Linked DNA regions of Oryctolagus cuniculus. The protein of the gene in region 1 purifies or fractionates together with the protein of each later gene. This does not show direct contact. Links are inferred from orthologs where the notes say so. Each region holds a gene or a part of one and is shown on either strand. Other genes may lie near its edges.

Region 1 (3,641 bases):
AGCCCTGGACCCTGGGCCTTACCCGCCCGCGACACGTGACCTCCTCGCCCTGCATGAGGCAGGTCCCCGCGGCCACGTAGCCCTTGAGGCCCGACACGGTCTCCTCGCTGCGCAGCGACACTGTCTTCATGCAGGTCACGTGCTCCCACTCCTCCAGCTCGATCCTGGGGAGGGGGTGGTCAGGAGGCCAGGCCGCCCAGCCAGGCCCTCCCACCCCGCCCAGGCCCAGCCTCACCTGGCGTTGGGAATGGCCTCCCAGCTGACCGGGGAGATGAGCTGGATGGAGAAGGCCTCTTGCTGTGGGTGGACGTATCGGTCATCTGTGGGGACACGCTGAGGTCAGGGGTGGGGCTGTGCCCAGCACAGGGGTCCCCTGAGCAGGACCCACCTCTCTCGATGGTCTCAAACTCCTTCTCCTCGCCTGTCATGCGTGGGATGCGGGTACACGGGGTGTTGGTGCTGGTGGCCACAGCGTACACCTGGCAACCAGCGGGTGCCACAGGTCAGGAGGAAGGGGCGGGGCAGGGCACGCAGACTGCAGTTCCCTGGGGGAGAAGGGCGGGGCAGGGCACAGACCTTGGACTCCACGTGGTAGGCCACGTAGTGGGCTGTGCAGCGCAGTGGGATCTTCCTGACGGGCCAGGGGGCGTCGTAGGACAGGTAGGCAGGCAGGACGCTGATCCTCAGCTCTCCCTGGGGCGGGTGGGTGGAGGGGTCAGCCGAGCCTGGCCCTTGGCCCAGGAGACCTACAGGGTGCTGCACGCAGGCGGTGGCCTGGGCACCTCAGCTTCTGCTGAGTCTGCTGAGTCCACCCTCAGGGACTCCCCTACGGCTGGAGACAGGCCCTGCCGGGGGCAGCCACAGACTGGGCACGCCCAGGACTGCAGACCGTCCACTGCCCTGGGAAGCACTCACCTTGGTGGCCCCAGCTCGCGGAGGGTGCATGCCCCCGACACACAGCCCCGAGGAAGGGCTCCTCCGGCTAGGGCTGTTGGGCCCACGTCCTGCACCCCTCCCCACGTTAAGCTCCGGATACCACCCCTTGGGCCGCACCAACCTGCACAAGGTCACCCCTGGCCCCAGCACAGCTAAGGGTCCTCGTTCTGGGGGCCCAGGGCCACTCTACCTGTCTGTTGAAGTAGAGGAAGCCACGGGGGCAGTTGACATTGTGGAACGGGGCGAAGGAGTCGATGGGGCCATCAATGCCCATGGGGTGCAGCCGCAGGGCCCCCCGAGCCGTCACCAGCAGCCAGTGCGGGGAGGGGCCGCAGATGAACACCTGGAGGCAGGGGTGTGAGCATGCATGGAGGCCCCGCCCCGCCCCGCCCCGCCCCAGGAAGGCGCCAGCCTACCCCCGAGTAGCCATAGATGTCCTCAAAGTAGCGGAAGCGAGCCACGCGGCCGCGCGCCCCCGGCCCCTCCTCGCTGCTGCCGCCTTCCGCCTTCTTCTTGGACGGCTTCGGCTTCTTCTCCCGGAAATTGATGTTGTGGGGGACCTGGGGGCAGGCACTGTGAAGGCCCCGCTGGCCCCGCCCCCAGCCCCCAGCGCCCCCCAGGCTCTCCCACCCCTAGCACCTTCTTGAACCGGACTTTGAGGTTGCCCTGGCCAAGCTGTGAGTCGTGGGGGAAGGCCTCGTAGATGAGCAGCTCCTGGTCCACGTGCACCTGCAGGGAGGGGCTGTGCCGAGTGCTGTGCGTGTTGGGGGCGGGGCGGGGCGGCGCGGGGGGGGGGGGGGGGGCTCGCACTCACCAGCAGGTAGGGCCTGCTCTGGCGGCTCCCCAGGGCCACCAGCAGCACCTCCTTGACCAGGGGCAGCTCCCCTTGGCGCGTGGCCTCCTCCTTGCGGGCCTCAGGGCCTTGGGTGGTGGGCTGTCCAAAGGAGCTGTCCACCAGGACCCGCTGCCCCACAGGGAAGTTCTTCACCAGGAACACCAGCCGCCAGTCGGGGAGCTGGTAGATCTGAGGGAGCGAACAGCAGTGGTGGAGGCAGGAGGGGCGCCCTGCTGCGTGCTAGGAAGCACCCCTCCTCCGTGACCCCCCCCGCCCCACCCCGCGCTCGGGCCCCACCCACCTCCATGGTGCCGTTCTCCCGCACCAGCAGGCACCAGTGCGTGGGCTCGGCGCGGAAGGGTGCGGGGTCCCGGTCGGCGGGAGGCTGGCTACTCCTGCGGGCCTCCTCCTTGCTGGGGCTGAAGAGGGAGCCCGAGTCGCCGTACAGCATCTCCTCCTCGTCGTCCACTGTGGGGCTGGGGGCAGCAGGTGGTCACAGGCTGCCCGGGAACCCGACGCCCTGCCCCCAGCACCTGCTCACCTGGTCTCCGAGCCCAGGCCCTCGGCCTCCATGCTGCTCCGGCCGCCCAGCTCGTCGCGGGCCCCACCCAGGCGGCTCTCGGTGGTGAACATGCCACTGACGTCCCGGTACAGGCACAGCGCGATCACCTTGGACTGCTGCGGGGAGCAGGCGGGGCTCAGTCTCGGGCGGGGACACGGGTTGGGGGAGACGGCAGGGCGGGGTGGGGGCCTACATGGTGCAGCGGGGGCTTGTGCAGCGCCAGGCGGTGGTGGCGGCCCCCGTAGGAGTCGCTCTTGAGCAGGAACATGGTGACGTGGCCCTCGGCACTCATGATGACCACGTAGGGGTCGGCCACGGCACACTGCACGATGGGGGCGCCCAGGTCCACCGGGATGAAGTGCAGCTGGTTCACTGCGGGCACAGCGCAGCGGCCGGCTGTCAGCACACGCCCGCTCCGCGGGACCCAGCGACCCCTGGGCTGCCAGCTCAGGGCAGCGGGCCGGCTGTCAGCACACGCCCGCTCTGCGGGACCCAGCGACCCCCTGGGCTGCCAGCCAGGGCGGCAGGCACAGCTGTCAGCACACGCCCGCTCCGCGGGACCCAGCGGCCGCCCACCCCACCTCCTTCCAGCAGGCGGATGCCCAGCGGCGACACTTGGACTATGTAGCGGTTGTCCCCGATGTTTCCGGCAAACACCGTGGGGCCCTGTGTGGCAAAGCCGCTGGTGTCCAGCTCCATGATCTCCTGGCCCGTCTGCAGGATCTGGGGGCGACAGTGGGAGGTGAACCCTCCCCCCCCCCCCACACACAGGGGACCCTGCCCTCCGTGATCTCCTGGCCCGTCTGCAGGATCTGGGGGTGACAGTGGGAGGTGAACCCTCCCCCCCCCCACACACACACAGGGGACCCTGCCCTCCGTGATCTCCTGGCCTGTCTGCAGGATCTGGGGGTGACAGTGGGAGGTGAACCCCCCCCCCCACACACACACAGGGGACCCTGCCCTCCGTGATCTCCTGGCCCGTCTGCAGGATCTGGGGGTGACAATGGGAGGTGAACCCTCCCCCCCCCCACACACACACAGGGGACCCTGCCCTCCGTGATCTCCTGGCCCCTCTGCAGGATCTGGGGGTGACAGTGGGAGGTGAACCCTCCTCCCCCCCCACACACACACAGGGGACCCTGCCCTCCGTGATCTCCTGGCCCGTCTGCAGGATCTGGGGGTGACAGTGGGAGGTGAACCCTCCCCCCACACACACACACTCACAGGGGACCCTGCCCTCCGTGATCTCCTGGCCCGTCTGCAGGATCTGGGGGCGACAGTGGGAGGTGAACCCTCCCCCCCACACAC
Region 2 (4,242 bases), on another chromosome or scaffold:
AAGCTGTGGCTCCAAGCACCTCCCCCTCCGACCCCTGAGCACCAGCCCCCCCTTCCTGACCCTCGGGTCGCTAGCCGATCCCCGTGCACGCACCGCAGCCTGATTTCTGCCTCTCCGAGGATCCCGCATCCTAGCCCTGAGCGCCCGCCGCCGACTTCCCTAAATGGTCTCCATTTCTGAGTCCCTACCTTCCCTCCTAACTTTGAGCGCCGCTTTCTTGGAAGTCCCTAGCTCTGGCCCCCTACCGTGGAGCTCCGGTTCCTATCTTTGCTTTGTGCGTTTCATTCGCTCAGATCTGGGAGGTGGGGTCCCCACACGCAGCCCTCACGTTGACCCTAGCCTAAACGTTCCCGACTCCCGCGGCTCGTCCGCGTCCCGACCCTCACACCTGGCCCCCGCGCCCCTCGGCCACCCAGCTCCCTACCTAGACGCCCTGGCCCCTTGCGAGCGCACACCTCGCCCCAGCCCCGCGGGAGCCCGCAGCCCGCTGCCGGCCCCCCAGTTCCCGCTCCGCCGGCCCCGAGGACACACCTCGCCCGCCTCTGGATAGTAGCTCCACTCGGCCAGGTCGTGGGCCTCCATCTTCACCGAGCCCAGCATCCCCCGGGCCTGCGCCCCCACCTGCCCCCGCTCCGGCCCCCGGGGGAACCGAGCGCTTCGGGTGTCTCGGCGGGCACGGCCCGACTTCGCCCCGCGCGCGCGCGCCGGTCCGACTGCCCGGGGTCCCGCAGTCCCGGGCGCCGCGGGAGGCGGCCACGCTTTATAGCCGGGGCACCCCCCGCCCTCGCCCGCCCCGGGCTCCCCTCCCGCCTCCCCGAGGGCGGTGCGCTCGGGCTGGGGCGCCCCCTGCGGGACTGCGAGGACACAGACCTCGGGCGTCGGGAGCCGCCGCAGCCCCTGGACGCTGCTGCTGGACGCCGCCCGGGGTGAGGGGGAGGCCCGTGGGAGGGCCATCCTCGCTGGCCTCAAGGCCCCCACGGCGGAGGCCCGGGGTCCTTCCACCCCGGGGGGTTTCGCCTTCTCGACCTGAGAGGGCAAAAAGCCAGGGGCCGGTGTGGCCGCGGCGGACGAAGGGGCCTCCTGAGGGCACCGGTGGGTCACTATGAGGAGCCCCTCGACACCACATTCCCGTTGGACGAACTGGAAGACCGAGACTTCCGACGGCTGGAAATGCTTCAGGACGTGTGCACGTTCAGGACCAGAGATAAGAAGGGCCGGGGACGGCTCAGACCCCAGTTGGACAACGCACCACCTCCGAGGGCCAGGAGCTTCGCCGCCCGGACTGCACTGCCACCAGCCAGCCGGCCGTCCAGGGACTCAGAACGGCCGTGGACTCCATTTCCCAGAAGCCCCTCTGCCCACTTCCGCCGGCGCCTCCACCAGGGCACTCCATTTCCCAGAAGACCTAGCGCCGACGGCCGGAAATGGAGGGCGGCCCCGGCGCACTCCGGGGAGGGCGAAGGGCGGCCCGCGCGGGAGGAGGTAGAGGCGGAGTCGGACCGTGGTCTGGACTCCATTTCCCGGCCGCCCTCCATGTGCGGCGCGTGCGCAGTGTTACGGCGGCGAGCGGAAGATGGCGGCGGCGGCGTCTGCGAAGAGGCGCTGCTGAGGGGGCGCGAGGGGGACGGAGGCCCGAGCCGCGGTGAGCGGGAGGCGGCGTCGGGGGGCCTGGCGTGGGGGGGCGGAGGGGCTGGGAGAGGCGGGGAGGGCCGCCGAGGGGAGAGGGGCGCGGCGGCCCTGGGGACCCCTGTCTGCCCCCACGCTCCCGCTCCGGCCCCTTCCCCGGCTCGGCCCCGGGGCGAGGTTGCAGCGTGGCCCCGGGCGCGTCAGTCCCGCCGACCTCGCCGGCCTGGGCCCTGCGTGCGTGCCCGGTGCCCCCGTCGCGCAGGCGCCGCGGCGCTGCGGCTCCCCTGGGCGCCACGCAGCTCCGCGCTCTGGGGGTTTTGCACGGGCTGCTGTGCGCCCCTGCCCGCGACACCCTTCCACCCGACCTGCCCGGCCGGCTCGCACCCATCCTGCGGCCTCGCCGCCCGCGTCACTTCCTCTGCGAGGCCCTTTCCCGCCCTCCGCCCCGAAATCGGCCAGTGAAGTGCGCCCGTGGGTGCCCGTCCCTCGCCTCCCCGTCACGTGTGCGCTCGGTGGTCGCGAGAGCTCTGTCTGTGTGCTGATTGACGCCTGACTGTGAGTGAGGGTGGGGGCCAAGGTGTGTCTGGGTTCCCACCTGTCACGCCGGAGACGGCCCGTGGATGCTCGTGGAATGAATGAAGAACACGCGTGGAGCTGCTCTGTGCGGTGCGGCGGTCGTGGGCCGCCCTCCGAGCGTGCCTCCACGGGAGGACGCGGCCGCGCACTGAAGCCCCGTGCCGCGCTGTCCCCGCGGGCTGCCCGGTCCACGGCCCAGGGTCGTGCGATGCCGCGGGCTTCCTGGTCCACAGCCCCGGGTCGTGCCATCCCACGGGCTTCCCAGTCCACGGCCCCGGGTCGTGCCATCCTGCGGGCTTCCCGGTCCGCGGTCCCCGGTTGTGCCGTCCCGCGGGCTTCCTGGTCCACGGCCCCGGCTAGTGCCATCCCACGGGCTTCCCGGTCCACGGTCCCGGGTCGTGCGATCCCGCGGGCTTCGCGACCCACAGCCCCGGCTGGTGCCATCCCGCGGGCTTCCCGGTCCGCGGTCCCCGGTTGTGCCGTCCCGCGGGCTTCCTGGTCCACGGTCCCGGGTTGTGCGATCCCGCAGGCTTCCCGGCCCACGGCCCCGGGTTGTGCCATCCCGCGGGCTTCCTGGTCCACGGCCCCGGCTTGTGCCATCCCACGGGCTTCCCGGTCCACGGTCCCCGGTTGTGCCATCCCGCGGGCTTCCTGGTCCACGGTCCCGGGTTGTGCGATCCCGCAGGCTTCCCGGCCCACGGCCCCGGGTTGTGCCATCCCGCGGGCTTCCTGGTCCACGGCCCCGGCTTGTGCCATCCCACGGGCTTCCCGGTCCACGGTCCCCGGTTGTGCCATCCCGCGGGCTTCCTGGTCCACGGTCCCGGGTTGTGTGATCCCGCAGTCTTCCCGGTCCACGGCCCCGGGTTGTGCGATCCCCGGGCTTCCTGGGCCATGGTCCGGGGTTGCGCAGCCACAGGGACGCGCGGCGGGCACCGCGACCTTGGGCGATTTCTGGGCGAACATCTAGAGGGTGCTGACCCAGCGGTTCAGGCTGCTGCTGCCTGAGGTGCACCCTCTGTGAGGTGGACACATCGGCCACCGGCAGCCGAAGGGGAACATGTTTGGGCTTACAAAAAAGACAGACAGCCAAGGGCACAGCCCAGACAGCAGACAAGGGAGGAGTCGGGGTGACGCGTGACGCCTCTCACTGGGTCTTGGCGCATCAGCATCTGAGGAGAGTGGGGAGGTTCTCGGGTTCTGACGAGGGGGCCAGCGTGCGCTCGAACCTGGGCTGGGCACAGGGACGCTTTCATCCGCGCAGTGCTCGGTGGGGTCCGCCGCCACACTGTGTGCCCTTGGGCCGTGACTTCCCCTCTCTGGCCTCAGTGCCCTCACCTGTACACACACACGGAGGCTAAAGTCAGTTGCTGGGGCAGGGGTTTGGCACAGCAGTGGGATGCCACATCCCATCTGAGTGCTGAAGCCAGCACTGCCAAGGCACGCGCTGGGGGACAGCTGATGGTAGCTCACGCGCTCCCTTCCCTGTCACCCACTCGGGAGGGAGACCAGAACTGAGGCCCAGGTGCCCGGTTTCAGCTTGACTCTGGCTGTCGGAGGCATTTGGGAAGTGAACTAGTGGATGCAGAAGTCTGTCTCTGTGTGTCTCTGCCTTTCAAATAAATAACAAATCAGTTAAAATTAAAAAAAGAAAATCCTGAGTATCTAACTCAAAAAGCTGGTGTCATGGGGCTTGTGCATATGTCGGGATTGCCCTCTGTACATGCTAAGTGCTGGGCAGGTGTCACCTGTAATTGTCCAAGCATTGTAGCGCCAAAGGGCAGGGCTCCTGAGGCCGGGCAGTGGGGAGCCCTGGCCGGGAGTGTGGACTCTTTCAGCAGTGTATTGAGCACCCCGGGCGCCAAGCACTTCTCTTTGCTGAGGGTATGGAAGTCAAGGCAGAGAGAAGTCCCCGCCTTCATGGAGCTTACCGATCAGTACGCCTCGGAGAAAGATAAAGCCACACAGGGTGGGAGAGGGAGCTGGCCCTGGGCGATCAGGGAGGCCTGGCTTCAGAGCTGTGCGAGGGAAGACCTGCGGGAA
Region 3 (3,641 bases), on another chromosome or scaffold:
GTGACCCAGGTCATTGAAGATGCTGCTTGCTCTCTACCTCTCCCTTCCTCTCTCTGTACCTTTGCTCTTCAAATAAATAAATAAATATATCTTGGGGCCAGTGCTGTGGCTCACTTGGTTAATCCTCCGCCTGCAGCGCCAGCATCCCATACGGGTTCTAGTCCTGGTTGCTCCTCTTCCAGGCTAGCTCTCTGCTGTGGCCCGGGAGGGCAGTGGAGGATGGCCCAGGTGCTTGGGCTCCTGCACCCACGTGGGCGACCAGGAGGAAGCACCTGGCTCCTGGCTTCCGATCGGCATAGCTCCAGCCGTAGTGGCCATTTTGGGGGTGAACCAACAGAAGGAAGACCTTTCTCTCTGTCTCTGCCTCTCTCTAACTCTGTCAAATAAATAAATAAATAAGAACAAGAGTGGATGGGGCCAGCATTGCGGTGCAGTGGGTAGTCTCTGTCTGAGACGCCAGGATCTCACATGGGTGCTGATTCGTGTCCCAGCTGCTCCACTTCAGATCCAGCTTCCTGCTAATGACCAGGGAAAGCAGCGGAAAGCCCAAGTGTTTGGGCCCTTGGCACCCAAGTGGGAGACCCGGATCAACTTCCTGGTGACTAGCCTCAGCTTGGCTCAGGCCTGGCCACTGATGAGAGAACCAGGAGACAGAAAATTTCTCTCTCTCTCTATCCCTCTCTGTAACTCTTCCAAATAAATTAATAAATCTTAAATTTTTTTTAAAGAAAAGGATGCGGTCAGTTTTCTTCTTACGCATACCTATCATACATGTTACCCAATCTCTCCACCCCACTCTGAATTCTATAATTACACAACTCACCTGCACCCAATTGAGTGGCTTATCTTTATACCTATTACATTTCAACTTCCTTTATTTTAACACAAAGACCTTACTCATACTAAAGTATTTAGAAGGCTGTACCTCAAGAATGTCAGAATGCTGGTCCTCACTGAAGCTGTATAAGCACCTAGAGGTTCGTTTGTACCACTTTCCCCACTCGTTACTATGTTGGAAAATCTACACAATGAAAAGCAAAAGAAGTTACCTAAAAGAGGCTGATGGCTTGTCGCTCACTTGACTAAGGATGAAGACGAAGTATTTTTATTGTATATATGAAAATTTAATTATGATTCTTAAATCCAAACATGTGCCCATTCAGCTTTAAGAGTTCCACTCCTAGAGTGCCTACAGCAAGCTCCCTAGCTGGTCTGATTTTCCTTATCCCCCTCCCGTTCTAGTCTAACCTTCTGCCAGTTCCTCTTCTGAAAATCAGATGTGCATGCTTTTGCCAACCCTCAAAGCAGCTTCCCACCGTCCACACCAATGTTTGCAGGCAGTTTAAGATTAAGGACTTTCTCATCATGGTCCTAGTGCTATTGTTTCCTACAGATCACAACACCCACCTAAAGGTAAAAGGACTGCCACAGACATTAAAATGCACACTCTGTTCCAAATCCAGACATTATTAGTATCTAAGCACATTATCAAGGCAAGAAAACTATTACACTCTACCCATAAGTTCCAAGTCCTTACTCATTCAGAAGCCAATAAATCAGACTGCAAAAGTCAATGACCTCTGGTCCTATCACCAAAATAAACCTCAAAATAATTTTTCCACAAACATTATGCATATAAAAAACACAGCTGCAATGACTACCTTTGATGAGATTAGTCCTACTCTGTTTCTAGAAGTCAACAGAAAAACAAACAAAAAACCAAAGTATTCAGAAGCCAGCAGTCTGCAAAGGGAGTTGTCACTTCTGATGCACCACTGCACACAACCTGTTCCAGGATAACAATTTAGTCACTGCCTAAGTCCAGAGTCAGCAAAGAGAACCTGACCTCCTTTTAAAACAGGGGAGACACCATCACATATTTTCAAAATATTTTCAACAGAACAAGAACCAAATACTTACCCAGAGTGTGATGTTAATTAAAATTAAGTTCACTATACAGAACTGTGTCCAGCAGAGCGGCTACATCTGCGGATATAGCACATGCAATGCATAAGGCAGTATTTTGGTGGACAGGGCTGCAATCCCAAAAGGGGCACAGTTCCATACTCAGCCCACAAAAGTTTCCTGAGTACAGAATCCAAGCTGAAAGCCACTCCCAATCTTCATCACAGTGCAATTCAATACACAAAGACAGTATCAAGGTAAAGAATGAAGAGCACACAAAAAGTTTCAAGACAGAAGTATGAAAACATCACATTATTGTTTGGGCTAAGTCTACCTGTGTTGCTACCACGGAATCGAACAGTAGTATCAAATTTCAACCAACACCCTTTATATATTAATTTTAACAATCAATGGCTTTATCCCAATGTTGAGTTTAGAGTCTCAGAGAATTCCTAAAATTCTTGAAGATATCTGGAACTAAGAGACATCACACCAATGATCTCAGCATCATATAGATAATAACTGCATACCACGTGCCTCACCATTTTATAAACACTCAGGAGAAAGAATCTCCAGTTCTGCTGGTAAAGATTAAAGTGTGATCTACAATGAGAACTTAACCTGTTGCCATGAACTTTCAGATCCTACAAACAAACATGTACTATGTCTCAAAAATCACAACATACAAGCAAAGAATAGTTTTACTTGGCATGTTAGTATAACAGGCTATAAATTCACATGCTTGCAAAAGAAGAGATAAAACAACAATCAGCAAACTTGTAAGTCACCAGGAAGCTGAAGGTTTGGAAAAAAGGCAGCTATTTCAATTTTAATTCTGTCCCTTGAGTAGTGGCATGGGAGCAGACTCAAGAACAAAAAATGAGAGCAACCAAGGATAATTTACTAAAATTCACCTTAAAAAGATTGAATCTGTCATCTTGGATCTCTGCACCTGGTGTAACTTCCATAGTACAGTCTTCGGCCTAAGTTAAATAACATATTCCCCATTAAGATACCACATAATTTTTAATTGATAGGCCATAAAAAGACAAACTAGCTGTGGCTGGTCTGTGACTTGAAACTAAAAACATCAGACAATCATTAATATAAAACTCTGGAAGGGAAGGAAGGGAAGAAAAACAAACATGGTAAAGAGAATGGAATTCTTAAACTATCGTATGGCATTATTTAACCACCTTTATAGGGAAAAAGTGATTTAACTGGGGAGCACAAGTGGGACTGTAGAAAAAGCAAGGGTATTCTGGAATATTTACTAATTACCGTAATCTTATTTGTAGTAGAGGTAACTGGTATAACTTCAAGTCCCATTCGTATCCTCTTTTGCTTTTCACAGTAAGCTTTCCAAGTATCTTCATTAAATCCATAATTAAAATAATCAGAAAGATCAGCACCTAAAGATGAAACACACTTTAAGTATACAAATATATCAATTGTATTCTTATACAGCCTCAAAACTGTTAACTAGAAAAATATAGTTTTACCAGTCTTGGCATCTACACCTTCTACTTTTACCAGCTCTCAATTATCACTACAAACCAAAATACTACAAACATTTTAATCTGAATTATTTCCTTTAGAAATGGTGCTGGGGCCAGCACTGTGGTGTAGTAAGTTAAGCCTCCGCCTGCAGTGCCAGCATCCCATACGGGCCCCGATTCGAGTCCCGGCTGCTCCATTTTCGATTCAGCTCCCTGCTAACGGGCTGGGAAAGCCAT

Evidence for each region.
Region 2: the proteins of CPSF1 (region 1) and SYMPK fractionate together in Homo sapiens (co-fractionation; 5 studies listed by BioGRID and IntAct, with this or other methods). This does not show direct contact. The link is inferred for Oryctolagus cuniculus from reciprocal best matches to the Homo sapiens genes CPSF1 and SYMPK.
Region 3: the proteins of CPSF1 (region 1) and FIP1L1 fractionate together in Homo sapiens (co-fractionation; 8 studies listed by BioGRID and IntAct, with this or other methods). This does not show direct contact. The link is inferred for Oryctolagus cuniculus from reciprocal best matches to the Homo sapiens genes CPSF1 and FIP1L1.

The regions. Positions count from the first base shown.
Region 1 is NC_091437.1:168,121,276-168,124,916, forward strand, and holds part of CPSF1 (cleavage and polyadenylation specificity factor subunit 1), read right to left. Parts: intron 3,057-3,641; coding exon 2,915-3,056; intron 2,706-2,914; coding exon 2,527-2,705; intron 2,450-2,526; coding exon 2,313-2,449; intron 2,248-2,312; coding exon 2,073-2,247; intron 1,961-2,072; coding exon 1,751-1,960; intron 1,666-1,750; coding exon 1,576-1,665; intron 1,497-1,575; coding exon 1,353-1,496; intron 1,280-1,352; coding exon 1,127-1,279; intron 694-1,126; coding exon 577-693; intron 480-576; coding exon 389-479; intron 321-388; coding exon 236-320; intron 165-235; coding exon 23-164; intron 1-22. UniProt on the Homo sapiens protein: Component of the cleavage and polyadenylation specificity factor (CPSF) complex that plays a key role in pre-mRNA 3'-end formation, recognizing the AAUAAA signal sequence and interacting with poly(A) polymerase and other factors to bring about cleavage and poly(A) addition.
Region 2 is NC_091449.1:11,171,172-11,175,413, forward strand, and holds the start of SYMPK (symplekin), read left to right. Parts: upstream 1-1,421; 5' UTR 1,422-1,424; coding exon 1,425-1,642; intron 1,643-4,242. Other genes in the region: FOXA3 (hepatocyte nuclear factor 3-gamma), read right to left, coding at 532-600. UniProt on the Homo sapiens protein: Scaffold protein that functions as a component of a multimolecular complex involved in histone mRNA 3'-end processing. Specific component of the tight junction (TJ) plaque, but might not be an exclusively junctional component. May have a house-keeping rule.
Region 3 is NC_091439.1:110,490,879-110,494,519, forward strand, and holds part of FIP1L1 (pre-mRNA 3'-end-processing factor FIP1), read right to left. Parts: intron 3,318-3,641; coding exon 3,187-3,317; intron 2,889-3,186; coding exon 2,820-2,888; intron 1,022-2,819; coding exon 926-1,021; intron 1-925.